7 linked regions of the Ovis aries genome follow. The protein of the gene in region 1 purifies or fractionates together with the protein of each later gene. This does not show direct contact. Links are inferred from orthologs where the notes say so. Each region holds a gene or a part of one and is shown in the gene's direction. Other genes may lie near its edges.

Region 1 (3,500 bases):
TACCACACAATTGCACTCATCTCACATGCTAGTAAAGTAATGCTCAAAATTCTCCAAGCCAGGCTTCAGCAATACGTGAACCATGAACTTCCAGATGTTCAAGCTCGTTTTAGAAAAGGCAGAGGAACAAGAGATCAAATTGCCAACATCCACTGGATCATGGAAAAAGCAAGAGAGTTCCAGAAAAACATTTATTTCTGCTTTATTGACTATGCCAAAGCCTTTGACTGTGTGGATCACAATAAACTGTGGAAAATTCTGAAAGAGATGGGAATACCAGACCACCTGCCCTGCCTCTTGAGAAACCTATATGCAGGTCAGGAAGCAACAGTTAGAACTGGACATGGAACAACAGACTGGTTCCAAATAGGAAAAGGAGTATGTCAAGGCTGTATATTGTCACCCTGCTTATTTAACTTCTATGCAGAGTACATCATGAGAAACGCTGGACTGGAAGAAACACAAGCTGGAATCAAGATTGCCAGAAGAAATGTCAATAACCTCAGATATGCAGATGATACCACCTTTATGGCAGAAAGTGAAGAGGAACTAAAAAGCCTCTTGATGAAAGTGAAAGAGGAGAGTGAAAAAGTTGGCTTCAAGCTCAACATTCAGAAAACGAAGATCATGGCATCCGGTCCCATCACTTCATGGGAAATAGATGGGGAAACAGTGGAAACTGTGTCAGACTTTATCTTTTTTGGGCTCCAGAATCACTGCAGATTGTGACTGCAGCCATGAAGTTAAAAGACGCTTACTTACTCCTTGGAAGAAAAGTTATGACCAACCTAGATAGCATATTGAAAAGCAGAGACATTACTTTGCCAACAAAGGTCCATCTAGTCAAGGCTATGGTTTTTCCAGTGGTCATGTATGGATATGAGAGTTGGACTGTGAAGAAGGCTGAGCGCCAAAGAATTGATGCGTTTGAACTGTGGTGTTGGAGAAGACTCTTGAGAGTCCCTTGGACTGCAAGGAGATCCAACCAGTCCATTCTGAAGGAGATCAGCCCTGAGATTTCTTTGGAAGGAATGATGCTAAAGCTGAAACTCCAGTACTTTGGCCACCTGATGCGAAGAGTTGACTCATTGGAAAAGACTCTGATGCTGGGAGGGATTGGGGGCAGGAAGAGAAGGGGACAACAGAGGATGAGATGGCTGGATGGCATCACTGACTCAATGGACGTGAGTCTGAGTGAACTCCGGGAGTTGGTGATGAACAGGGAGGCCTGGCGTGCTGCGATTCATGGGGTCGCAAAGAGTCAGACACGACTGAGCGACTGAACTGAACTGAACTGAACTGAACCTGCATGCCTAGTGCAGGCTTTCCGGTGCCCATGCTACTGGTCTGAGGGCCAGGTTCATGTAGCAAGTTCTAGAGCACACACAAAAGGCTTTGGCATGTACTTACCCTTTGACTTAATAAATCTAAGACTTTATCCTGAAAAAGCATCAAAGCAGCCACACATAGCTAAGATGAGGCACCTAAAGGCTTTCATAGAAGTTAACTGCCCAAAATCGCACAACTGGTAAATGACTGAGTCAGGGTCTGGGAGGGGCCTCTGATTCTCACCTGCCATGCAGTCCTGTCCCCCTGAATGTGTACCAGATTTAGGATCTGTACTTTGTAAGTGCTGTGAAACAAGTATCATTAGTAACAGTAGAAAATGTTCAACCCGTACAAATAAAAAGCTTAAAGAGCGTTTGGCAAGAGAAAACATTTATAAAACAACATTAAGGACAACTTATATATACTATGATTCCAATTTTATTAAAACAAATACCTCTTTGTGTGTATATATATGTATGCACAGAAGAAATGCCAAAGGAAAAATATCAAATCTTGATAAGAGTTTTTTAAATTGCTTCCTAGCTTGATTATGAGTGTTTTCAAATTTTTCTTTATACTTTTTTATATTCTCTAAATTTTTTACCATAAACATGTATTACCTGTTTCTTGACCTTTTAAATTTGAAATATTTCATATGTAGGAAAGAATATACATAATGAAAATATGTAGTCTATTTAGAATAATAAAGTGAATACCCATTTACTCACCCCTCAGCCTGAGCAGTTGATATCCTGATATAGAATATGTACCTAGGAAGGAATTGCTGGATCATAGGATAGTCACATTTTCAGCTCTAATGGTTAATGCATTATTATTTTCCAAAGTAATTCTAACAGTATAAACTCTTACATGCGGTGTGTAACAATTCTTATTTATTTTTTACACATTTACCAACATTTGGTTTTGTATTCCTTTTTAATCAGAAAACAAAACAAAACAAAACAATGGCTTAAATGAATACATACCTCATAGGAAAACCAACCTTGGAACCTTCCATTAAAAGATGTCAATTGCGTGAATGTCCTCAATAGTGTGTGGATGTCATGTCTTTGCAGGTACGCCAACAGTAGCCTCATAAAGTACATGGAGAAACACAAGGTCAAGCCTGACAGCAAAGTATTCCTTTTGGTAGGTGCATCTCTCCAGAGTGGGAAGGTGATCCTTAGCACAGCTCTCACCCCACCCCACTTACTGTGAAATTGTCCCAGCTCTTCCTCCTCTTCAGGAAAAAAAGGAAACTGGTGGATGCTGGGGCAAAATTAAATCTTTTTCCTTTGAGATATCACCCTTGACTTTTAGCCTTGTTTCCAGTGGTTTACCAGTAGGAAAAAAAAAAAAATTCTAAAACGGCTTTACTGCTAATCATTTCTGTCAGTTTCACATAAATGTGTGTAGTGTATTAATAAACGGGCACCTGATGTTAATTCTGTTAGCCATTAACACAGTCCAAACATTCCCCTGGAAGCAGACTTTCCCGTGCTGTCAATTTCTTATGTGTTATTCTAGCTTCAAAAACTCCTTACGATGGATCCAACCAAGAGAATTACCTCCGAGCAGGCCCTGCAGGATCCCTATTTTCAGGAGGACCCCTTGCCGACATTAGAGTATGTATCCTTCCTTTTCTGTGCACTTTGCTCCAGGTTGAAGGTGTGCGGTGGTGGCTAAAGGCAAGGGAAGCACTTGTTACTCGAGTCTTTTATTTCCTTGGTTAATACCACCTCGGGAAACACTAGCCGAGAGGTCCTGTACTTTGAAACAGGCAAAGCTGTAAAGAGGTGTGAATGAAAACAAGTTTACGGAATGATCATTAGTCAGTTTTACAGACAAAAACTAAAGCTGAGAACAGATGGGACTTTTATTATAGATCGGTCAGCCAGAACAGTTTACACCAAACCAGTAGGGAACTGAGCTTTTAAAATTCTGTGTCTCTGCTGCGTTATTATACTTCTCCATTTCCCCATCCTTATTATACCCACAGATATAAATTGTGCTTGGACTTACTGATATTAGAGGTACAGCTTTTCTTGAGAAAAAAATTACTTTCATTGTTGAAGCAAATACACGGTCAGCTCTTTTTAGTGCTGATGAAGTTTGTGTGGAGAAATTTCTGTGTTACATATGTCAACTAGCTAAACGCAGTTTTAAGATGT
Region 2 (3,500 bases), on another chromosome or scaffold:
CTTAAGAAATTACTGATGTCTGGATAGCATTACTGAGGTTGATTAACTGCTGTGATATGGGGACTGATCATCCTTGACTCAGCAATTGTAAGAAATTATCCTAAGAACATAATTGTACAGAGAACAGATGTGCACAAGTATTTATAAAGGTAACATTATTCATAATGACACCAAAAAGGAAGACAGTTTTCTCAGTGTTACACTATATCCTATCTATTCAGTGGGATATATTACAGTATGTTCCATGAAAGTGAGGAATACATATTATAATACAGAATCACTACTGTTACATAGCAAGTTAAAAAAAATGATTACAAAACAGTATTTAGAGCAAAGTTTCATTCTCCAACTGAAAACACATACTAGTGTTTTCTTTACTGAGCTTTCTCCCCCACTTCCTTTTTTATCTTTTTGCTAATTTCTTTCATGCATTCCTTTTTAAAAAAATTTTTAAAACCAAGATTCTACTTTATACTTTTAAGAAGTCAAAATACTGGAAAATTTCTAAGCCTTTTCCCTCCTACTTTTTCCATCTATTATTTTTTAAATGGAAAATTTCCTGTCCGCTTTCTGTTGTGAGCCATGAGTTTAGTACAATCTAATTGCCATCTTATTTTTAGGAATGGGTAGGAGAACATTGTTTAAAGGAACCTGAGAGATTATGCACAGACAAAGAACTTATTCTGGACCCTGTGCTCTCAAATATGCAAGCACAGAAATTATTGCAGCTCATCTGTTATCCTCATGGCATTAAGGAATGTACGGAGGGGGACAACCTCCAAAGACAGCACATTAAACGCATTCTTCAGGTGAGTGAAAATAGTCTAAAGACTGTGTTTCTGTCGTTTTGACATGTTCTTTGTGTTTATACAGGAGTTACTGCGTCTCTCTTGTCATTGCTAGCTAATTCTTAACTTCAATTAATTCTGATTTTTATTCCCCCAATTTTACATTTTGTGTAACAGCCACACTTTATTGCTGGGCAAATACGCACGCTGCAAACCATATACAACCATTATGTATGTATAAGTGCAAATATGTTAATTCATGTCAGTATTTATTGTGTTTACATGAGAAATAAGCTTTGTAGAAGGACTGTCTTCATTATGTTATTCATAAAATATCAAAATCATTTTGTAATGGAGTTGTTTGGATAGACTTTGGGAGAAGAAATGATTGTCTTATTCATTTCCAACGCCTAGCTGAGTAAGGCACATTATTTTAATGTTGCTGTTTTTTCCTTTGTCTCTATAATGAGCATATGTAATAGACTTGGAAGCCTTTTGTGTCATATGAATCCCTTTATTGTGTGTGATCATTCATCTGTTTTTTTGAGAAAGAGAATACTGCAGGGGATTCTTATACTTTAAGACATGTTTGGTATTCTTAACGTGCTAACTCCATTTTCCCCAGAATCTTGAGCAGTGGACGCTGAGGCAGTCCTGGCTGGAGCTTCAGTTAATGATCAAACAGTGCTTGAAGGACCCTGTGAGTATATTCATGAAAGCATGAACGTGTGTGCCGTTTTATGAAAAGCAACACAACATTGATGCTTGTGGATAAAGTAAAACACAGGAGTGCTTGTTTTCTCATGTCTGACTCCAGGGCTCTGGTTCGGTGGCTGAAATGAACAACCTGCTGGACAATATTGCCAAGGCAACAATAGAGGTGTTCCAGCAGTCAGCTGACCTAAACAATAACTCTTCTAACGCTGGCGTGGGCCTCTTCAGCCCAAACGGGATTGGCAATACTGATACAAGTAGCACAAGGCAGAATGGAATAAAGACATTTCTCAGGTATTTTTTTTTCCCTGTGGTTTTACAAAACTATCATTCATTTTTCACATGTAACTGCACATTTTACTTGGATAATGCAGACTTTTTTTTTTCATAAAGCTGCAGGAATGTGAGGAAAATAATTGCTTGTAAGTGTCCATTATCATTATTTAATATGTTAAAGGGCCATGCTGCTGGGCTGCACGGTAGCTGAGCATTCCACATATGCGGTTGAGCAGGCCCAGACTCCTTGGAACCACAGTTTACATTCCATAGGGGTGAATTTCTTTCATGTGCCCTGAGGCTGCCCTATTCTGTGGTATTCTTAATATAGGAAACACTCTTTCTGCCATCTTTTTTAGTTGGCAGTTTTGCTCAAATGATAATTACAAAAGGCAGATAGACTTGTATTTCATCATTTTGGTGTCAAGTATAACTGGTGAATTTTGAATCTTTAGAAATTGGTTATTTAAATGCTTAAATGTAATCAGAACGTTTCATATTTTAACCATGAGAGAAAGGTATATTGCTTGTTAGACAAAAAAACAAATTGCTTGTTAGTGTTCAGAAAGCCAGAATCATAGAAAACCACTTTTCCAGACTTTAAAAAAAAGTTGAGCTATAGTATCCTTGCAGAATCCCACCTTTTAGTGTTTCCATAAGCACGAAGAGTGTGTGCAAATGTCTGGTATTTGGTGAGACGAAACAGAGGATAGAAGTAAAAGGCAAATGTTAGAATAACCCATGTGTCCTGTGAATGTAAGTTTTGCTTTGGAGTTTCGATCAGAACTGTGGGAGCAAAGTAAAAGGATGCCTTGGGTATATCCTTGGGTATAACATCTGTTTCCATTTTTAGTTCCTCTGAACGCAGGGGTGTGTGGCTGGTGGCCCCCCTAATTGCCAGGCTGCCGACTTCTGTGCAGGGAAGAGTGTTGAAAGCAGCTGGGGAGGAGCTGGAGAAAGGACAGCACTTGGGTTCTTCTTCCAAAAAGGAAAGAGACAGGCAAAAGCAGAAAAGGTATGGCTGGAAGTTTTGTTCCTATGTGAGCGGTTATAGAATGGTTGAGAAAATTCAGTGTCCTACAGATGTACGTGCTCATTATACTCTGCTGTTGATGGTTATTAATAGTTGCTAAGTCATGTCTGACTCTTTGTGACCCCATGGACTACAGCATGCCAGGCTTCTCTGTCCTCCACTATCTCCTAGAGTTTGCGCAAATTCATGTCCATTGAGTCTGTGATGCTATCTAACCATCTCATCCTCTGCCACCCCCTACTTGTCTTGCCCTTGATCTTTCCCAGCATCAGGGTCTTTTCCAATGAGTTGACTCTTTGCATCAGGTGGCTGAAGTACTGGAGCTTCAGCATCAGTCCTTCCAGTGAACGTTCAGAGTTGATTTCCTTTAGGATTGACTGGTTTGATTTCCTTGCAGTCTAGGGGACTCTCAGGAGTCTTCTCCAGCAACACAATTTGAAGGCATCACTTCTTCTGCCCTCAGCCGCCTTTATGGTCCAACTCTCACATCCATACATGACTACTGGAAAGAACATATCTTTGACTAGATGGACCTTTGTCTGCAAAGCGATGTCTGCTTTTTAATACGCTGTCTAGGTTTGTTATAGTCATTGTACTCAGAGTCCACTGAAATTTCGCCTTTGTATGGAATTGAAAATAATCTGATCGGCCAAGTTCTGTTAGATAAAGTCTCCAGATTATAATATGTA
Region 3 (4,042 bases), on another chromosome or scaffold:
ATAAGAAAGCTGTGCTAAGGCTGTTACCAAAGTGCCCTCTGACACACCGTCCACCCTCCCCACTTCCTTCCACAGTCTCCTCCCCTGGGACTTGCCTCTACAGACTCCTCCTAGATGCCTCTGAAATACCAGCACTGATGCTTCCTTGGCACCGGCCACCTTGCTCTTCAGTAGAGGGGTACTTCCCAACTAGGATGCCACTCCCCATCACACAGCCCCCTCATTGTGGCTTGGGAGGGCTTGTTTTGAGGAACATACCCACAAACCCACCAGGAGTCCCCTACTTTGACCTAAGAGCCCACTGCTGCTAAGTCGCTTCAGTCGTGTCTGACTCTGTGCAGCCCCATAGACAGCCACCCACCAAGCTCCGCCGCCCGTGGGATTCTCCAGGCAAGAACACAGGAGTGGGTTGCCATTTCCTTCTCCAATGCATGAAAGTGAAACTGAAGTCGCTCCGTCGTGTCCGACTCTTAGCAATCCCATGGACTGCAGCCTACCAGGCTCCTCCATCCATGGGATTTTCTAGGCAAGAGTACTGGAGTGGGGTGCCATTGCCTTCTCCGCCTAAGAGCCCAGGGCTCATGCAAAGGACACCTTCAAAGGTCAGCCATGTGTCTGAAGTTGGAAAGTGGTTTGGGCTCTGCCATGACCCTGAACTAAAGATTTTAGAGGTGAGCACACTGAGACCGGGGGCTTCAGGAGCTGGCCCACAGGTACGGAGAGTAGCTGACACTGACTTCTCCCTCGGATACAGTATTTATTCCTGGTACTAATCCCCTTCGGCCATCTCTGCTCGGAGTAAGTTGAGACAGACCTCACCCTTCCCCCACAGTTAGCACAGCGTGTGTCACCCAGAAGATGCATATTAACTGTTCGGTTTATTTCAGGGTCCATAGGGTAGGCGCAAGACCTCGTCCCTGGAGGCTTCTGCGCGGGTGGGAGCCGTGGGTCCTTCCCCTCGGATCCTCCACGGGCCCAGGGCCTGACACCCGCAGGTGCGGAGGTGCTGTCCACTCTTCCTGAGGCCCCATTTATCTTCCTCTACAGGTTGCTTTTGGATTCTCTTTGTAACGTGAATAGGAATGAGATGTTATTCCTGAAGTATACCTTCTATTTCTGACTTTTGAAAAATTTAGCTGTCTCTGCGCACCACCAAATCCAGGCTACCAAGGACCAGCCGCCTGTTGCCTAGTAACGACCGCCAGGCCCGGCCCCGCCTCCGCGGCGCACGATGGTGACGTCATAATCAGCAACACTTCCGGCGCGCGAAGCCGACTGTCCCCCTGATCGGCTGCTGGGGTCCGGGACACGATGGCTTCTGTGGGGGTTGCTGCCGGCCGGCAGGGTGAGGACACGCTGCCGCCGCCCGCAGAGCCTCCGCTGCCGGAGATGAAGCCGCTGCCGCAGCCGCAGCCGCCGCCGTCTGTCTCTGCGCAGCAGCCGCAGCCCGCGCCGAAGCCTCCATCCCCTGCCGGCGTGAAGGCGGAGGAGAACTGCTCCTTCCTTCCCTTGGTTCACAGCATCATCAAATGGTAAGGGCCCGGGGGAATCAGCCCGCACGCCCCCGCTGCCCATCACATGTCCAAAATCCAGGGGCGCCCCGCGGTACCAAGGGGGAGACACACCCGGAGGGGAGCGGCCACGCCGAGGCCACCGCGAGCAGTCCCAAGAGTTCAGCATTCCCTCCTGGGAGTTACCAGGCCCCGTGCTGGCAAGCAGCGTTCTTAAAACGAAGCCGATGTAGACAGCAAGTGCACAGACGCTGCGGGCAGACCATTGGGGTGCAGCCTGGTGAGCCTGTTTTCCCACAGATCCGACAGATACGGGTCATCTTCCATGTGTGGCACACTGCTAAGTGCTGTGGCGTGTACACGTGGAGGGGCCGACTTTTCATCCCCACCTTGCTCACCAGTTAGAAGGGGAAACTAATGAGCGGAATAACCCATAATGCAAAGAGATTATAGGGGTGATGTTGGGAATTTTACAGGAGTAGGACGCTGCCCTCCGGACAGCACTGGGGTGCCCTGTCCCGGCGACACGGGGTGATTGTCTGCTTTTGGCCAGTCTTCAGATCACCTGAGTTTTCAAACTTATCCTTAGAAGGAAAACACACACACACACACAGCCAAAATCTCCCCAATCCCCACATTTGCCCAAATTATTGTTAACTGTTATTTATGTCTACATGATAGCAAAGTTTAAACCCCTGGGCTTGAACTTTTTATTCAGCCATTAAAAAATAAAAGCAAAGTGGATTACAACAAAGTTGTAATCTTTTACAGTAACAAAGTTGTTATTTTTACAGTAACATTCAAGTGAACATCAACATGCTCTTGGATGTTTTGCTGAAATGGAATTGATACTCACAATACAAAAGTATTGGTGATGGCCTAGCCGGTTTAGAGTTGAGGCGGATTAGATTCACTTGCCCTGGGATGACCTGACACTTCCACTGCTTTTCAGACGACTGTGAAGACTTTGTTCTCACAGTAGTCACAGTAGACCTTGACTTCATCTGGCTTCACTTGGTGTGAACATAGTGTTTATCGGGCAAGGCAAACTGTTCTATTCCCAGGAGCCTGTGATCAGGTAGCACTTCTAGGCAGAGTGACCAAGCAAACACACACAGAAGCAGCCCTGGAGTCCCAGGCATTATCCAGGATCAAGCCAAATATGCTTATTCGGGTTTTAGAAAAAAATACGGAAAAATGAAAACACACAGTGTTCTCCGAGTCTATTTTTGACCCTGATAGAGCAGTTGGGTTGGGCTGGCCTTAAAGATGGAACTGTATTGTCTGTGAGAAAGAACATGGGCTTTGAAGTCAGATCTTCTTGAGTTCAGATCTGCATGTTGATGCTTGCTTGTGTTGGAATTTTAGTTAAGTGCATAGCCTTTCTAGACCTTGATTTTCTTATCTCTAATATATGAGTAATAATTGTTCTTTGTTCAGTCGCTCAGTTGTATCTGACTCTTTGGAATCCCATGGACTGCAGCACACCAGATTTCCCCATCCTTCACTATCTCCCAGAGTCTACTCAATCTCATGTCCATTGAATAGGTGTTGCCATCCAAAAATGAACCACAGATGATAGCTCTATAAGGTACCAGCTGAATGACCTTGGTCAGACAGCTTAAAGGCTTGTACTTTCCCAAGATTTGTTTTAGGAGAGAGTCAGCCAGAGTGTCTGGACTGGGGAACACTAGGCACATTGTGGGAGCTGGGGGAGGGGAGCCATACTGAGAATAGGAGCTTGAGAGCAAGTCCACAGACTGGACATTGAGACCCAGCCCCACCCTTCACCCATACCTCCCCTTTCCTGTCCCCAGCTTCTCAACTGACAGCCAAAGAAAATAGACTCTCTTGGGTGTCTGACCCCAGAGACACTGAACCAGGGAGTCGAGGAGTCATCCGAAGTTTTTGAGCTAGTGCTTGGGTTTTGTGAAGGTAGATGGGACAGAGGGCTTTAGGAGGAGGAGAGGACTGGGGTCCACAGGAAGCTGGGGAGTAGGAGGAGGAACAGGGATGAACTGCAGGTGGTGGCAGGCAGAGCTGCAGCACTGACTGAGGGGACTGTGGGTGCCCAGCACACACAGGTGCAGGTGTGGGATGGTCATCCCCATTCAGACCGCAGGTGATCAGTTACAAACATCCACATACTCGTAACAGCCATGTCATCTAGCTGTCCGAGGTGCATTTCAGGTGAAAAAAGAACCAAGAATCAGAACCATGTGTGTAGTGTGGTTACATTTTTGTCAAAACAAATTGAAAAGTGATTCAGTTACACATATATGGACATTCTTTTAAAAAAAATATTCTCTTCCATTATGGTTTATCATAGCTATTAAGTATAGTTCTCTGTGCTATATGGTAGAACCTTATTGTTTAAAAAAAATTTTTTTTTTTGTTTGTTTGTACCTTGTCCTTTCAGACTTATGTGTTGTGAATCAGTTTTCTTAAAACTATAATTTAATTTCAAAATTGCCTTGGGACTTAAATTCATAACAATGTGTTAGCACATATGCCATCCAAATGGAATGATT
Region 4 (3,500 bases), about 11 Mb from region 1:
AGGGAACTGCACCATGACTAGCTCACCTCATGCTCACCATGAGGAGCAGGTGTCAAAAACGTTAAAAACAAAAATTATATATCACCCAGTAATTTTTCCTCCCTGTAAGATTAAATTGATGGGATGGTTATATAATTAATAAATTATATGAATCTGTATAATTTTTAAAAAGAATATAATAAAATACACATAAGTGAATGAATCTTTCTGACTCCATACATTCCATGTGCAGTTAAACATGGAATTTGTGTCTCATTTTCTCTCCAGCTTGCCTGCATGTAGCCTGTGTTGTACAGCAGAAAGATGCCAGACAGTGGTTTGCTGAGCTTTCTGTGGATATGGAGAAGGTAATCTTTAGAATTCCCGTAACTGAATATAAACTTGAACATTTTGAAGTTAATGTCGTATTTATTTACCATGTGCCTAAAATTTCATGATGTCAGCCAGGCAATGAGTACTTTTTGGTTTTAAAAGAAAAAATGTTAAGAAATATGTTGGGAAGAAGAATTGATTTTGACCATTTAGGTTATATTTCTCTTCAGTTTAGGATTACATAGAATGGTAAACTTAGTGTTTGACTGGTTGCAAAGCAGTCTCTTAATTGCCAAAATTATTTTAAAAGCTACCTAGTGACTACTGTAATACTACTGTAAACTCCAGTAACACAGCCTATCTCCTGACAGTGGATTGTTGCCCTTTTTTCTACCTTTTTTGCTGAAATGTTCTAGAATCAGTCCAAGGATAGATTTACTCAGGGGGAAAATAAAGATCTAATTTGGAAACTGGACTTGATAGATTTGTAGCTGCTGGTTTTTGAGCACCTTAACTCATTTGTAGAGTAGTTAGTAGAGAATCAAAACAAAGTCTTTTGTGCACTACCGCTCATTAAATTTTTTGAAACAGTGGTTTTAGAGGAGTTTACTCTGTAGTAGGGCTTCCTAGGTGGCTCGGTAATAAGGAATCTGCCTGCCAATGCAGGAGACACTGGTGTGATCCCTGGGTCAGGAAGATCCCCTGGAGGAGGAAATGGCAACCCACCCCAGTATTCTTGCCTGGAGAATCCTATGGACAGAGGAGCCTGGCAGGTTACAGTCCATTGGGTGGCAAAGAGTTGGATATGACTTGAGAATACATGTGCTCTATAGTGGTATTCTCTTTCATGATTTAGACTTTTGTTCCTAGTACCTCACTGTTTTGTTTTGGTTTCAGATATCAGTAGATAGAAGGAAACCAACAGAAGAGATGGATAAGGATAAGACCTAGCATACATGTGCTTTCACATTTACTGGGATTGACTAACCTAATCTGAAGGATAGAGACTATCTTTTCACTGTTTCCTAAATGATGTCTAGGATATGATGTGTGTTCTTTATATACCAAATGTTGCTTGATATTGCCACTGAGAACTTTTCAAATATTTTCTTCTAGATTTTGGAAATAATCAGGGTTATTTTAAAGTTGTATGAGCAGTGGAAAAATTTTGATGAGAGAAAAGAGATGGCAACTATTCTTAGTAAGATGCCGAAACCAAAACCTCCTCCAAACAGGTACTTTGTAGAGTTTAATTATTGCTTTTATTTAATTATATATTTCATAGGCATTATATTTTTAATAGAGTATGCTATTTTGTTTTTATAAAATGTCTTCTAAAACTTCATGATACGTGTTTTTTTGTGACTTAATATTTTGAAAACATCTCATTTAAAAAAATATATTAATCTGATCATCTGTTAAGTAACTTTTCCTGATATAACGGCAGGTCTATTACAGGTATCCCTCAACATATGGCTATATACTTAAATAAATTTAAACAGAACAGAGATAGGCAAGTCCATTTAAAATTCAGGGATAAAGAATTTTGGAGTAGTTCCATGTCAGTTTCACTCTGTGCCATCTTTTTTCCCCCAGTAGTGGCTGTTAACCCTGTTGATAAAGTTCAGTATCATTTTTCAAAAACTTAGATTATTGATCTGATACTGTAAAGATAAATAATTTTGACTTTCGAGTGACTCAGAGATCCATTGCACATAATATAATTTTGCTAAGTATGAGTTACTTGTGCTGAAAGGGTTTTTTTGTTGTGGTGGGGTTTTTTATGTGTTATATTGTTTTTTAACTGGTTTTTAACTTAATTCATTTAAGTTCAGTGGTTTTCAGATGTCAGTGTACATCAGATCATTTTGTTTAGGGGAAAAAGGTCAGAAGGGAAACTACCCATCTTAATCATTTATCAAGAAAAATAAATAAGTTATATAACATTAAGGTTGATTTGTAGATCTGGTATGTTAAGGTTACCATTTGGAAAAATTAATACTTTTACAAGGAGCTGTTTAAAGCAGTCATTCAAACAGCTGCCTTTGGATGCATTTTTTGCAGAAATTCCCTGAGTGATTCTTCACTAGTTGCAGGGCCTGAAGCTGCAAGATGCTGATGGACAAGATAAGGCAATTATCCTATTGCCACAATTACTGGTATTTTCAGTTTCAGTGTTTAAATATTCAGTGCTTTACAGGAAATTACCATATTTCTTTCTGACTTTTAAAGGTTTGCTGTATTGACGTATGGTTTTATTATGCCTTTGGACAATGATTTTTTGGAAGAACATTTCTTGATTTTCATTATTAGTAGGAATAAGATTTTCCATGTATAATTTAATTTCATAGGAAATTTGTCTAGAAGAATCTCTATGTTGAGTGATACCTGTAATGACAACAAAATACTCTAATTTAAATTTTTGAGTGTGTATGGACACTAACTTCCAGAATGCTTGCTATATGTGTGAGGGCACCAAGTTACATAAGAATAAAAACATAAAACCAAATGTAGTCTTCTGGATTTTAATTTTTCCACATCTGTATCTTATGATTGGAAATGTCTTTGTTTTGTAAAGCTATAGCAAAGAATAACTTTAAAAATTAGTAGCTTACTAGGGTTTTGAAAATGAGTTTTAATTGGTGTAAAATCTCTTTCTTCCCCACTTGAACAGTGAAGGAGAGCAGGGTCCAAATGGAAGTCAGAACTCTAGCTACAGCCAATCTTAAAACATTCCGAAGAATTTCATAGTGGACCAGTTGGAAATAAACCATTGGACAGATTTCAGTAATGTCTTCAATGGAACACAAATGAAAATGAATAGCTTGTTTCTGTCAAGCATATTGGGAAGTGATTTTATTTTTGCAAAATGTTTTCCTTACCTAATTTGATTCTGATACATAATTGATTAAAATCTATTGTTTATGAAAGTTTGCAAAGGTTCTAAGAGGACCTACAGACAGACATACATAGACTTTTGAAAATTAATAGCTTCTGATTAGTGTAATTTTTCTTAATTTGGATAATAGAAATTTTAACTCTTTATTAAGCCAGAAAACATGAAACATAATTTGTTTAAAATTCTCTTTGGTCACTGAATGACCGAAAAAAGGAAATAAGTCAAATAAATGAGGGTCTTTTTTTTTTCCCTCCTTAAGTTAAACTTTAAAATTGTATTTAAGGAATCA
Region 5 (4,236 bases), on another chromosome or scaffold:
TATTTCTGATGCCTAGGCTACTCCACCAGCCCTGTGAGCACATTTGATCCTTTTTAATAGGGTAGTTTCCTACAGTTGTATTTAATCTTGGATCTCATTACATCAAATCCTAGCACTGGAGATTTACCATCCTGTGGCTACTTTCTCTTTGCACTGTAAACATTATGGCTAAGAACACAAGATCACAAGGGACCACCTGTTTTGGAGTCCTGGCTCTGCCACTTACTAGCTGTGCAACTTTGTTACTCTTAAAACCTCTGTGCCTCAGTTTCCTCAACTGAAAAATGGGGATAAGTGTCTACTGTGTAGGGTTGAGAGTAATCTTTGACATTGGTAAAGCGCTAAGATGGTCTCTGGGACACAGTAAGCATTCGATAGGTAAGGATTCAATACATGATTATACACCTCTCACCCTTCCCATCCACTCACATGTTCTCCTGTAACATTGGGCAACTCTCCTAGTGATGTTTTCTTTCCAAATCTGACATTTTAGACTTCTAATTACAAAACTCTGCCACTCCCCAGCTGAGAGTAGCACTTGGGTAAGGTACTTCACTTCCCTCGATTTTTAGTTTGTCTGTATATGGAAATGGGTATTGTCACCTTCCTTGCACAAGTCTGAACCACACAATGTATACAAAAGTTCCTTGCATGGTCCTTCGTACTTAATGGATGCTTCATTTGCATTTTCCCATTTAAAACGTGTGATCCTCACAATAGACCTGAAGATAGATATTTTACAAAGAAGGAAACAGGATCCGGGAAGTCAAGATTTGCCCAAAGTTGCACAGATAGCTACAGGGCAGCGCCAATACCAGAACGAGGTTTCACTCTGAATCCAACGTTTTTTCATGAAATCTAAGCTGCTCTCCAATTGCATGAGCGCTAGAACCTAATTAATTTATGCTGTTTATGGCATTCCAATAATATTTGAATGAGGCAGCAACCGGCAAACCTGCCCACTGAAACTGCAACAGAAGATCAAAATACAGATTTTCTGAATGCCATTACGAGGTCAAAGAACCCAAGAGCCCTAGAGTAGAGAATCGTGGATTAAATTTCGGCAAACAAAACTGAGCCACGAATTCCTCCTCTAGGCCTCCCCGAGGAAAGTAGGGGTGAGGAGATGCTACTATTGGGCCTTCAGGAGGGCCAGGCGGCCCCCAGACCCGGAGGAGGCCACGGCCGCGCCTGGCCGCCGGACCCTCCCCCTCGGATCTACAGGCCCAGCGCTGCGCCCGCCCGCCCCTCACCTCCGGCTCCGGGCGCTCCGAGGCCATCACACAGCCCTCCCGCGCCGGCCCGGGCCAGAGAAGATGCTCCGCTCCTGACCCCTGACCCGGAGGTCTCGCGACTGGCGGGGCCGGAAGTGAGTGGGAGGGTCGAGTTCTGAGCTTTCTAATTGGCCTACTTGGGAACCGGAAGAGGAAGTGATTGACACCGCCCCCCGCCGCAGCAATGCAGGTGAGGACCGGTTTGGCGCTAGCGACGGGTAGCTAGCTTGGGGTAACGAGACAGAAAGTGGGCTGGCCGAGGAGAGAGTGAGGAGTTAGGGATGAGAGGACTTGGTCGAGACCGCGACTGTGAGATAAAGGGACGCGCGATGGGGACGAGGACCTCTGGAGAGGGATAGGGGTGGAGCCCGGCTGACAGGAGACAGAAACTGCGGTTAGGTTGGGACGGAGAAGGCAGCACTGTCTTGCTAGGGTGTGGAAAAAGGATCAAGTTGTTGATAGGGTGTGGAAAAGGATCAAGTTGAAATTTGGGAAGGTGCAGTCCAAGGAAGACGGCTGAAGAAAGAGGTGGATTGGGCTCGGGCTCAGGCCCCGGCCTAGACGTTGGATGTTGACAGAACAGAGGATCTAACTGGAGAGAAGCCCGAGGGTGGAAGGAATTGTGGGACCGTGGTGGCCAGAAGCCAGACTAAATAATCTGAGGCCGTGGGTGGAACCCGGCTCGTGTCCTCCACATTCGGGGTTTTGCAGTTCTGTTTCATTCTTCCTAGTGTGTACCCCTAGTAGTTAAAGGGTGAAATGAGATAAAACTGGAGACCCCTCAGCTTTTAATATAGTTTGCCTAGTGCTTAGGGGCATGTGCGGTTTGGTTGCTGTTTTGTTTTGTTTTTCATTTGTCACTGTTTGTTGCAGAAGGGTAGTTGTCAGTACATTTTTATAGGTTGACTAAGCTTGCGAAAGGGGCACAGGAATATTGGCACAGCAATAAAGTGAGTGCAGATTGATTTAGCAAGGAGGAGGTTGAAACAGCAAATGCTGAGGGAAGAGGAAGGTGACGGTGGCAGTATTCAGAGGAGCCTTCCTGTATAGGTAGGTTTTCAGAGATTATGTCATTGCCAAGAACAGCCAGGTTCACAAGGCAGGTTCTAGAACATAGGACGTCAGAGTACGTCTGCTGCTGAGGTGTGCCGAACAGAATAAATCCCAGGCATTACGTCTGGTGAAAATTGTCCAGTGAGGGAGAACAGATACAAACCAAGCCTAATATAGAGAAACAGTCACGCCCGGATTAAAAGCGATGAGAGGAAGGAATCAGTAGGTAAGAGGAATTGAGGTCAGATGAATGGGTTTTAAGGTCTAAGGGTTGATGCTGTCTGTGATCCTAACTCCAAATAGGGGTGGAGCCCGGCTGACAGGAGACAGAAACAGCCTGACTGTCCCTGTGCCAATGAGATTCTGTGTCACTGTCCTGGTGTTGCACACTGTCACCCTGGCTTTTCAGCCTTCCTCTATATGTGTCATCCTTACACTCAGCTGAGTAACCAACCTATTCCTATTGGCTCAGAGGGAGGAAAAACAGCTTGAGGCATCATTAGATGCACTGCTGAGTCAAGTGGCTGATCTGAAGAACTCACTGGGGAGTTTCATTTACAAGCTGGAGAACGAGTATGACCGGCTGACCTGGTAAGAGTTGCCAGGGCAAGCTGGGGAGGGCTCTATGGGTGGGGGCTAGGCCACCTGCTGCACAGGGTACCTCCTCCAGCATTTATCACTTTGTGAACATCTTTTGATTTAGAAAGAGCTGGCTTTCCCAACATTTAACACTGAAGTTGGCCTTGGACCTCAACTTTAAGGGTAGTAGAGAAATGCCCAATTTCTCAACCCAGGTTCTTTCTAGCTTTTGATTCTCCCTGTTTGACTTCTCCAGGATGAGGTCCTCCTGCAGTGGGTCCTCCCACCACAGTATTCATACTGGATTTCTTGCACGGGTTTTGCCAAGTCTTTTAGGTCCAATCTAGGAAAGTTTGGATCTGGAAAGGGATCTTTCACCCGGTTTCTGAAGTTCTAGTGATAATAGTGTAGCCATCGTTCCTATTTTGCCATTGTCCTCACCCCATTCAAATGTAGTAGCTCCTCGTGATCTATCAGGGGTAAGTTCTAAGACCCACTGTGGATTCCCGAAACTATGATAGTACTGAATCCTATTCTGTATATACTGTGGGTTGTTGTTTTTTTTTTTCTATACTACTTGTGTGGGTACCGTATACGGTATGGATATGCTGGACAAAGGGGTGATCAACATCCTGGGTAGGACAGAGTGGGATGAAGCAAGATTTCATCACACTCCTCAGAACACCTCCCAATTTAAAAACATGGATTGTTTATTTCCTGGATTTATCATTTAATATTTTTGGACTGTGGTTGACACGGGTAGACGAAACCTCAGAAAGTGAAACTTAGGATAAGTGGGGATTGCTATAATGACCTGTTTTTTTTCTCCATCTGTGTCAGAAACTCAAAGTGTATCCCTCTTTCTTAACCCCATAATCCCTGCGAGCCAGTCTAGTTCCTGCCCAGGCCAGCATAGGGCTATGAGTGTTTTGGGGGTGAGTCTGGTTATTCCTAGTCCGAGGGACCCCTTTGAGGCTCCTTTACCAGGAACATGCTGACATCTTCTTACCACCACCAGGCCATCTGTCCTGGACAGCTTTGCCTTGCTTTCTGGACAGCTGAACACTCTGAACAAGGTCTTGAAGCATGAAAAGACACCACTGTTCCGCAACCAGGTCATCATCCCTCTGGTGTTGTCCCCAGACCGAGATGAAGATCTCATGGTAAGAGGAGGAGAGGGATGCAGCTTAGGAAACAAAGCCCTTAAATGAGGACTGACAGCACAGTGGTTGGTTTCTATCTAGAAATTTTGAATATGCAGTAGTGTGTGGCAATAAGTGGGGGCTACATTTTGGAGGCCTTGCTTTTTGTCCTTCTGTCCTATTTCAAT
Region 6 (4,053 bases), on another chromosome or scaffold:
ATGACCAACCTAGACAGTGTATTAAAAAGCAGAGACATTATTTTGCCTACAAAAGTCAGTCTAGTCAAAGCTAGGGTTTTTCCAGTATAGATGTGAGAGTTGGACCATAAAGAAAGCTGTGCCCCGAAGAATTGATGCTTTTGAACTGTGGTGTTGAAGAAGACCCTTGAGAGTCCCTTGGACTGCATGGAGATCAAACCAGTCAATCCTAAAGGAAATCAGTCCTGAATATTCATTGGAAGGACTGATGCTGAAGCTGAAACTCCAATGCTTTGGCCACCTGATGTGAAGAACTGACTCATTGGAAAGGACCCTGATTCTCGGAAAGATTGAAGGCAGGAGAAGTGGACAACAGAAGATGAGATGGTTGGATAGTATCATCGAGTCGATGAACATGAGTTTGAGTAAGCTCAGGGAGTTGGTGATGGACAGGGAAGCGTGGCATGTTGCAGTCCATGGGGTCGCAGAGAGTCGGACACAACTGAGCGACTGAACTGAACTGAGAGGACCGGCTGGGGCTCAGGGCACGGGTGGGGGGCCCAGGGCAAGCCCACAGGCTGCCTCCAGACCCACGCGGACTCCGTCCTGTCCAGCTTCCTGGTTGGCTGTGTAGATTCTCCACACACCGCGTCCCTAGACAGCCCGGCCCCCAGACCTTTGCCCAGATGTTGCCTGCTCTCTGTCATACCCTTCCCTGCAATCAATCCTATGTCTTTCTGGAAAAGACCTTCCAGACTGGGGAGAGTCCGACAGCTTTTGGAGGAGGAATTGAGGATGGAGACTGATTCTACCGGCCCTTGATGGGTTGAGTTACCTGGCTTATAAGCGAGTTACACGTTGGCTAGACATCGTGATAAAAAGCGAAAATATGGAACGCTTCACGAATTTGCGTGTCATCCTTGCGCAGGGGCCATGCTAATCTTCTCTGTATCGTTCCAATTTTAGTATATGTGCCGCCGAAGCGAGCACAAACCACGAACAGACGCCAGAACTATTTATAGTAGACAGAACCAAATACTTTACGCTGAGGGCGAATTCTATCAAAAACCAATACAGCAATTTTCCTTTTTTTTTACTAACTTAGTGCAATAATGGCCTAATCTAAGGGGATTATTCACTTAAATTGAGAAAGTTTGTTTTTTCCATCAAATATAACGCAGATGGCTGTTGGAAAGGCACGATTGTATGCAAATTACCCCGGAAGCGGGGCGGAGCCACTGAGGTCCCAGAAGTCTCCGGGAAGCAGCCGGGCTGCGCGGGAGACTCGTTGGTCCTGGGAAGATGGCGGCGCCGGAGCCGGGGCGTTAGAGCGAATGCAGACGGCAGCCTCCTTCTCGGTGGGCGTACAGGCTGGTCCAGTGAGTGTGGGGCTGGGGGCTTGGGCAGTCGGCCAGCCTCCGGATGGCGCCGACGCTGCTGGGATTATGGGTCGGAGCAGGGCCTGTGGAGTCAGAGGGCGGTCCTGGAGAGCAGAGGGTGCTGGGTACGCTCCCTGAGGGCTCTGGGCGTGGTCTGGGGGGTCGTGGCGGAAATTTGGGGTGACCTGAGGCTCCCTGCGTTGGGCGGTGTAAAACCGGGGAGGGCCTAAGGTTGTACCTCCCCGGGGAGGGCCTGGGATGCATTTGAGGCGGGGCTTAGGGACTGTCGGGTGGGTTGGGGCGGGTCCTGGGTGGCCAGGTGGCCAGGTGTGTGGAGGAGGGGCTTTGGGATTGTTTTGGCGACTTTGGAATAAAAACAGAAGTTTAGGCCGGGCCTGGGGACGCCAGGGACAAATTGAGAGTGAGGTCTGGAAGGCACATTTTGTAGGGGCGGGGCCGGAGGGCTTTGGGGGCAGAGCTTAAAATGACTGTTGGTTGGGCTTGTGGGCGGGGTGTCAGTGTTCTGGGGCGGGGCTTTAAGAAGCAGCGGGTAATGTGATTGGGAAGGTGAAAGGAAATAACCTTAGTCGCGGCTGGGTGCAAAGAGCCTGCTGAGCAAGCTTTCACTGACCCTTTCTGTACCCCTGGAAGCCAGGCCCCAAGTTGCTGCCTAACCCCCACCCTGCCTCCCTACCTCTGTCTAAGGCAGCCTCACTGGTTCTCCTGTGTCCTCCTTAAGAATAGACCTGGGTGCTACCTCTTGTCGCAGCTTTCACTGTCCCCGTCACTGTACACCTGGACCAGCGCCACCATCCATTCCCCAGCCGTGCCCTTCAGACAGCCAGAGGGGCCTGTGAAACAGAAACAGGCTTCTTGGGGCTCCCATCTTCCTCCTGGTAAAACCCCCAGGCCCTGCAAGACCTGCCTCATCCCCTCCCCAACCTTACCTTGCTTCTCGCCCCCACTCACTCTGTTCCTGCTCTGCAGGCCTGGATACTGCTTGAGCATCCCAGGCTCAGTCAAGCCTCTGGGCCTTTGCACTGGCTGTTCTCTCCTCTTGGCATGCTCTTCCTCCCAGCTGCATGGATTGATCCCTGGCCATGCTTGTGTAAAACGCAGTTCCCTGGCCACACACAGGGCAGGGGTTGAGTCCACTTTGTCCCCCGTGGTAACCAGCATCCACCACCGCACTCGGGGCCCTGCAGGCACCCTGTGAAGATGGATGACAAGCCTGTCTTCCCTCCTGTAGGAGCTGGTGACCGTCCTCCCTGTGTGACCTTGGCAATTGGGCACCATGGACCTGGCTTACATCTGTGAGTGGGAGAAATGGCCCAAGAGCACCCACTGCCCATCCGGTCCCCTTGCCTGCACCTGGTCCTGCCGCAACCTCATCGCCTTCACCACGGACCTGCGCAGCGATGACCAGGGTGTGCCACCCCCATCCCAGGCCCCCTCATAGGGCCCTCCCCCCAGCTCCCATGGGGTTTCCTCCTCTGAGACAGGGGTGCTGAGGGGCACAGAGATAACCTTGAGGAATGGCCGTGTCTGCAGGGCTGGGGGAGAGGGGGTGGTGGCCACTTATGGCTTGCTGAAGCTCCTGCAGGAGTTTTCCAGCTGCACGTGTTGCCACCAGCTTTGCGGTGCACTCTGCCGCAGGGCAGATATTCTTCCCACCACAGAGCAATATGCACTTCTTAGAGGAAATTAGGAAAACGTGAAACTTTAGGATGAGGAGAACCCTAACCTTTCATGGAGAGACACCCGCTGTTAGTGTTTTGGGTCCATTTTTGAAAGCACAGTTGTAACCTCACAGAAGGCCATGGGTCTCCCCTTGGGCTGCCTGTGTATAAATCATGTTTCTGGAGTCCCTGCAGCCTGGCTTTAACGCTTCCTGATAGGCTTTGACAGCCCAATCCCCTGGGGTGGTCGGGCACCAGGCCGTGGTTGCCACACTGACCTCACTGTCCCTCGCAGACCTGACCCGCATGATCCACATCCTGGACACTGAGCATCCCTGGGACGTGCACTCCATCCGCTCAGAGCACAGCGAGGCCATCACCTGCCTGGAGTGGGACCAGTCTGGTGAGGGCAGCCTTCCACCCTGAATGCCAGGGCTGCCTGCTCTGTCTTCCTGGCCTTAGCCCTAGGCTCAGAGCTGGGACTTGAAACCCTGACCTGTGCCTTTGAGGCTTCTGCTCTTCTCGCCCCTGTTTCTGAACTCACCTGTGCTGGTCCCTTGCTCTACGACTTCTACATTCCGGCCCCCCCACCCTGATGGACGGCGGGGATGGGGCTTGTGATGCAGATTTGCCCAATCTCCCACCTTCCCCTCAGGCTCTCGTCTGCTGTCAGCTGATGCTGATGGGCAGATCAAGTGCTGGAGCATGGCTGACCACCTGGCCAACAGCTGGGAGAGCCCCGTGGGCAGCGTGGTGGAAGGGGACCCCATCGTGGCCTTGTCCTGGCTGCACAACGGTGTAAAACTGGCCCTGCATGTGGAAAAGGTGGGTGTCCTGCCTGGGGGAGCAGGCCTCAAGCCCAGGGAGGGCTTGGCTCCTCCTCTCATGGTGCCAGGTTGTCACACCTGCCACCCAGTTGTCAGCATCTGTGTTGCTAGCATCTCCCACGTGGTTTGACGTGGTGACAGCCCTTGGTTCCTGTCTGTACCCCACGGTTCAGCCCAGTGTCTCCCTGA
Region 7 (3,988 bases), on another chromosome or scaffold:
TGTCCATGGAATTCTCCAGGCAAGAATACTGGAGTGGGTAGCCATTTCCTTCTCCAGGTTTGAAGCAGCCAAGGTTATTTAAAGGGCCCCCAATTCAAAACTCACCTGCCTTGGAGGCTCAAACAGTCTCTTTTCCATCAGCTTAACACATACAGTATCTAGAGCCTAAAAACTTTTTATGCTGGCTTCAAATTAAAATAGTTCACTGGGTCAAAGGCTTGCCTTTGGTCCAAGGTGCAGGAGGGTCAATGAATGTTGGCTAAATCCCGAAACCGCAGCTTGGCTCTTTCTTAAATTGATCTGTGGACTGTTTCCAGGAAACCAAAGATGATCGGTCCACCTGGCAGCAGGCAGGCTGCGAACTGGAGGCGATTCTGCCCTGGCCAAGGGCCATGGCCCCCTCGTGGCCCCGAGGAAGGCAGCATTTCATCGGGCCTTTTGGATGTTATGGCGGGCGGCTGGCTTCTCCCGCCGCGGCGTGCTCTCCACGCGGTGCACAGACGTCTCCACCCGCAGGGACGAGGCCCTGACGTGGCGGGAAGCCGTCTCTGTGAGCTGCGAGGCGGTTTCCACGTGCTGGGAGGACACCTCGAGGACTCGAGGGAGCCGCTTCCCAGAGGAGGAGACGGAGGGTCCCTCGCTGCTGCGCTGGGTGGTCTCCACCTGCCGGGAAGATGTCCTCACGTGACGGTAGGATGTCTCCACGCGGTGGGACGAGGTCTCCACGCTGACCGTCGCCGTCTCCTCGGAGCGGATGGATTCCGCCCGGGCCGGAGAGGGCTTTCCCCGAAGGGGTGAGGCCATCTTATGGGGGTAACAGGGCCAAGCTGACCTTTGGAGGCCCCACAGCCCCACAATCCCCGAAGGATTATTTTATACGGTGAGGAGCGACGTCACATGCCATTGTGATGCAGGCAGAGCGGTGGTCGAGGGTCCCGCGAACCACGTGGAGGCACCGTGATCTTGGGGCGGGGAGGCCTAAGATTCCTTGGGAACGCTGGGTTCGTCCCCTCGAGAGCGCCGTCTGCCCCCGCATCGCCCCTTAGCCTGTCAAGAACCTGTCCGGGTGGAGGCGGGGTTGGGGCGGGGCGGGCCCTGGATGGGCGGAGCCACCCGCCCCCTTGCGAAGCTGTGCCCACCCCCGCATCCCACACTGCCCCGCGGCAGGAAGGGGACGCTGCGACTTCCGGACCTTCCCTGTTTCTCCGATCCTGGCTGTGTGGGGTTGCTGGGGACTTAAGAGTGTCTGCTGGTGATGGCCGCGGCCGTCGCTATGGAGACAGGTGAGTAGCGCTCTGAGCCTCGCGTTTTGTCAAATAGAAACTGTCCCGGGTCCAGACACCTGCTTCCCGGGATTTTTTGAGAATCCAGGCCCAACTCCCGGCAGAGTGAGTGATCGGAGCGGGAGGCACCAGGGTTTTTTTTTAGCGACTGGAAGGGCGAAGGTAATTTGGCCTTTTCAGAGTTTGTTTTGTTGGCCGATCCTTTCTCCCCGTTAGTTATTCAAACAGTGGCCCCACCGGCTTCCAGAAGACTAAAGGAGAGATTTTGGATCATAAACCGCTTCCTCGAGTTGTTTTTTTGCATCTCAGATGAGCTTGCCTAAGTTTAAAATATCGTCAGCGAACTCTTGTATTACTGTGCCACTAACGGGTCTCACGTAAGCACGCGTTTCTTGATACTCACCAGGGTCTCTTTCATCTTGCATTCTGAACGTCTCTTGATGGATTTAGCATTTTGTTTTTGCTAAGCTTGATCACTTAACAGCTTGTAACGCACTATCAAAATAAGGCAAGGCACATTGCTGCAGCTTATCCTAGTGATCACTGTGAAGTCCCAACATGGTGGCTCACGAGTGATTAATGTTCTGCTCCATGTATAATCTTGTTTTCTTTGATAATTTAACTTTAGATAAACCTTTTTTTTTTTTTTTTTTTCTTAATCAGGGCTTTGCTTTCCTTAGACTTATAAGGAAGGTGTTTCTCCTCCTACACCCAGTTTAGGAAAACCTTTGCATGCTCTTCTTTATGTAACTCAGCATTAGTCAGATGTCTGTACTGCTGTTTTCTGTCTAAAAATCAGTATTATATACAGTGACATTTATTTTGGATGATTTTGCTATCTTCTCTCCTAGATGATGCTGGAAATCGACTGCGGTTTCAGTTGGAGTTGGAATTTGTACAGTGTTTAGCCAACCCAAATTACCTTAACTGTAAGTTGTTGAGCACCTCATTGAAGTGAATAGCTAGTTACGATTTCTGATAGAAGAGTCAAAATTCATAGTACTGTCAGCCCTTTGTATCCTTGGAGGCAACCTCAGTTGGTGGAATCTGCCCATCCTGAGGGTGACAATACTGTCATGGCACTATGTTGTTTTGTACAGGAGATTGGAGCACCTGTGGATTCTCGTGTCTGCGGGGCCTCTTAGAACCAACTCCCTGTGGATTCTGAGAGATGACTTTAGTATCTAGTTTTGTACATTCTTAACTGAATGGAATGACTGTTGCACTTATACTGGTATATATAATTGAGCAAACTGGGACTTCTGTTTTGAATTCAGTGTGTGTTGGTGGTGGGAATGTTATGTAAGTAAATTCTTTACGATTATGTTAGTCACAGATCAGTAGTCCAAGGACTGGTGTGCTCTACAGATGTATTTTTTTTTTTTTTTTTATGCCTTTCAGTTCTTGCCCAAAGAGGTTACTTCAAAGATAAAGCTTTTGTTAATTATCTTAAGTACTTGCTTTACTGGAAAGAACCAGAATATGCCAAGTATCTAAAGTAAGTTTAATTTTTATAGTCCTAAACATGTGTGTACTTTTATTATATTCCAAAGCACTGATATTTAATAGACTTCTTACTTTCACGTTGGAAAAAATACCTGTTGAATCTCTGCTCTCCTTTCAGTTGCCTCCATTTTAATACGAGACACATCATCTCTAACTTAACTGGGATTACTGCAGTATCTACTCATTGGTATTCCTCCTTTCTCCCTGCCCTGCCAAACAAAGAAGAAACATTTTCTGCACAGAAGCCAACTTGGTCTCTTAAAAATAGAAATTACATTCCATTAGAACCCTTTGGTCGCTTCCCATTGCATGCAGAAGAAAATCTCGTCTCTTAGCCCTGTGTGATCTGTCCCTGTCTTCTCTGACCTTATCTTGTACCACTCCCTGCATCTCACTGAGTTTCTGACCTCAAGGAACCCGCAGTCCATATATGCAATGACAGCCATAGCCTGAAAATGAAAAAACATAGAAAGAGGTACTTACTTGTAAGCAAGGGTTTCTGGAGAAGGTAACCGTACCCGAGTCTTAATAGCTGCTTTCTTATTTTATATATCTTACATAATAAATACATGAATTTATCATTCAGGTTGTGCAATAGATACTCTCGTTTTAAGGCTTACTGAAATGCAAGGAGCATATTGTAATCACAAACATTTCTTTTTAATGATAAAAAATAAGCCTTGAACACCCACCTCTGCTTTGTCTTAAATAGGTAGTCAAAAAGCAGTGGTGAAATGTCTAGCCTTTTTTTTCCCCTAAACAGACACAAGTTTGAGAGGAGAATGTTTAAGACTTGTACTTTGGCCAAGCCACTTTTCTCTGTCTAATAACAGCTGCTTTATGAAGTCCACATCCTCCTTTTGCCTGTGGGACCCTTTCCACCCTTACTGGCCCTTTATAAAAGAACCACTTATTCATTTAATAATCCAGAGAAAATATATATATTTTTTTACTAGATTGCAACATGTTATATGTATGTATTATAGACTTAGAGACTCAGTGTTGGACACTGAGCCCTGGACACCGTCAGGTTCAATTTTACCCACAACATTGCTGAGATGGTCATCTGTATACTGGCTGGAGGTTTCTAGTGAACACATACTAATTCAGGGGCAGCCAATTCCGTTGTTAGCTAGATTCCAGAAAGTTCCTCCTTGTATTATTGTGTCCGACTCTTTGCAACCCCATAGATTGTAGCC

What was found.
Region 2: the proteins of CDK19 (region 1) and MED12L purify together in Homo sapiens (affinity purification with mass spectrometry; 3 studies listed by BioGRID and IntAct, counting the BioPlex papers as one, with this or other methods). This does not show direct contact. The link is inferred for Ovis aries from reciprocal best matches to the Homo sapiens genes CDK19 and MED12L.
Region 3: the proteins of CDK19 (region 1) and MED9 purify together in Homo sapiens (affinity purification with mass spectrometry; 7 studies listed by BioGRID and IntAct, counting the BioPlex papers as one, with this or other methods). This does not show direct contact. The link is inferred for Ovis aries from reciprocal best matches to the Homo sapiens genes CDK19 and MED9.
Region 4: the proteins of CDK19 (region 1) and CCNC purify together in Homo sapiens (affinity purification with mass spectrometry; 8 studies listed by BioGRID and IntAct, counting the BioPlex papers as one, with this or other methods). This does not show direct contact. The link is inferred for Ovis aries from reciprocal best matches to the Homo sapiens genes CDK19 and CCNC.
Region 5: the proteins of CDK19 (region 1) and MED8 purify together in Homo sapiens (affinity purification with mass spectrometry; 6 studies listed by BioGRID and IntAct, counting the BioPlex papers as one, with this or other methods). This does not show direct contact. The link is inferred for Ovis aries from reciprocal best matches to the Homo sapiens genes CDK19 and MED8.
Region 6: the proteins of CDK19 (region 1) and MED16 purify together in Homo sapiens (affinity purification with mass spectrometry; 6 studies listed by BioGRID and IntAct, counting the BioPlex papers as one, with this or other methods). This does not show direct contact. The link is inferred for Ovis aries from reciprocal best matches to the Homo sapiens genes CDK19 and MED16.
Region 7: the proteins of CDK19 (region 1) and MED31 purify together in Homo sapiens (affinity purification with mass spectrometry; 6 studies listed by BioGRID and IntAct, counting the BioPlex papers as one, with this or other methods). This does not show direct contact. The link is inferred for Ovis aries from reciprocal best matches to the Homo sapiens genes CDK19 and MED31.

The regions. Positions count from the first base shown.
Region 1 is NC_056061.1:26,950,835-26,954,334, forward strand, and holds part of CDK19 (cyclin-dependent kinase 19), read left to right. Parts: intron 1-2,405; coding exon 2,406-2,478; intron 2,479-2,856; coding exon 2,857-2,954; intron 2,955-3,500.
Region 2 is NC_056054.1:237,456,019-237,459,518, reverse strand, and holds part of MED12L (mediator of RNA polymerase II transcription subunit 12-like protein), read left to right. Parts: intron 1-620; coding exon 621-809; intron 810-1,413; coding exon 1,414-1,488; intron 1,489-1,605; coding exon 1,606-1,796; intron 1,797-2,631; coding exon 2,632-2,793; intron 2,794-3,500. UniProt on the Homo sapiens protein: May be a component of the Mediator complex, a coactivator involved in the regulated transcription of nearly all RNA polymerase II-dependent genes.
Region 3 is NC_056064.1:34,574,073-34,578,114, reverse strand, and holds the start of MED9 (mediator of RNA polymerase II transcription subunit 9), read left to right. Parts: upstream 1-1,242; 5' UTR 1,243-1,311; coding exon 1,312-1,532; intron 1,533-4,042.
Region 4 is NC_056061.1:37,553,097-37,556,596, forward strand, and holds part of CCNC (cyclin-C), read left to right. Parts: intron 1-267; coding exon 268-347; intron 348-1,428; coding exon 1,429-1,638; 3' UTR 1,639-2,376; coding exon of another isoform or gene 2,377-2,431; 3' UTR 2,432-2,986; coding exon of another isoform or gene 2,987-3,041; 3' UTR 3,042-3,500. UniProt on the Homo sapiens protein: Component of the Mediator complex, a coactivator involved in regulated gene transcription of nearly all RNA polymerase II-dependent genes.
Region 5 is NC_056054.1:18,067,155-18,071,390, reverse strand, and holds the start of MED8 (mediator of RNA polymerase II transcription subunit 8), read left to right. Parts: upstream 1-1,436; 5' UTR 1,437-1,458; coding exon 1,459-1,464; exon of another isoform or gene 1,465-2,553; intron 2,554-2,799; coding exon 2,800-2,918; intron 2,919-3,924; coding exon 3,925-4,069; intron 4,070-4,236. Other genes in the region: KICSTOR complex protein SZT2, read right to left, coding at 1,254-1,280. UniProt on the Homo sapiens protein: Component of the Mediator complex, a coactivator involved in the regulated transcription of nearly all RNA polymerase II-dependent genes.
Region 6 is NC_056058.1:41,109,603-41,113,655, reverse strand, and holds the start of MED16 (mediator of RNA polymerase II transcription subunit 16), read left to right. Parts: upstream 1-1,253; 5' UTR 1,254-1,358; intron 1,359-2,127; 5' UTR 2,128-2,254; intron 2,255-2,607; 5' UTR 2,608-2,652; coding exon 2,653-2,785; intron 2,786-3,332; coding exon 3,333-3,440; intron 3,441-3,692; coding exon 3,693-3,862; intron 3,863-4,053. UniProt on the Homo sapiens protein: Component of the Mediator complex, a coactivator involved in the regulated transcription of nearly all RNA polymerase II-dependent genes.
Region 7 is NC_056064.1:25,115,147-25,119,134, forward strand, and holds the start of MED31 (mediator of RNA polymerase II transcription subunit 31), read left to right. Parts: upstream 1-1,188; 5' UTR 1,189-1,255; coding exon 1,256-1,283; intron 1,284-2,134; coding exon 2,135-2,212; intron 2,213-2,684; coding exon 2,685-2,781; intron 2,782-3,988. Other genes in the region: C11H17orf100 (uncharacterized protein C17orf100 homolog), read right to left, coding at 427-804. UniProt on the Homo sapiens protein: Component of the Mediator complex, a coactivator involved in the regulated transcription of nearly all RNA polymerase II-dependent genes.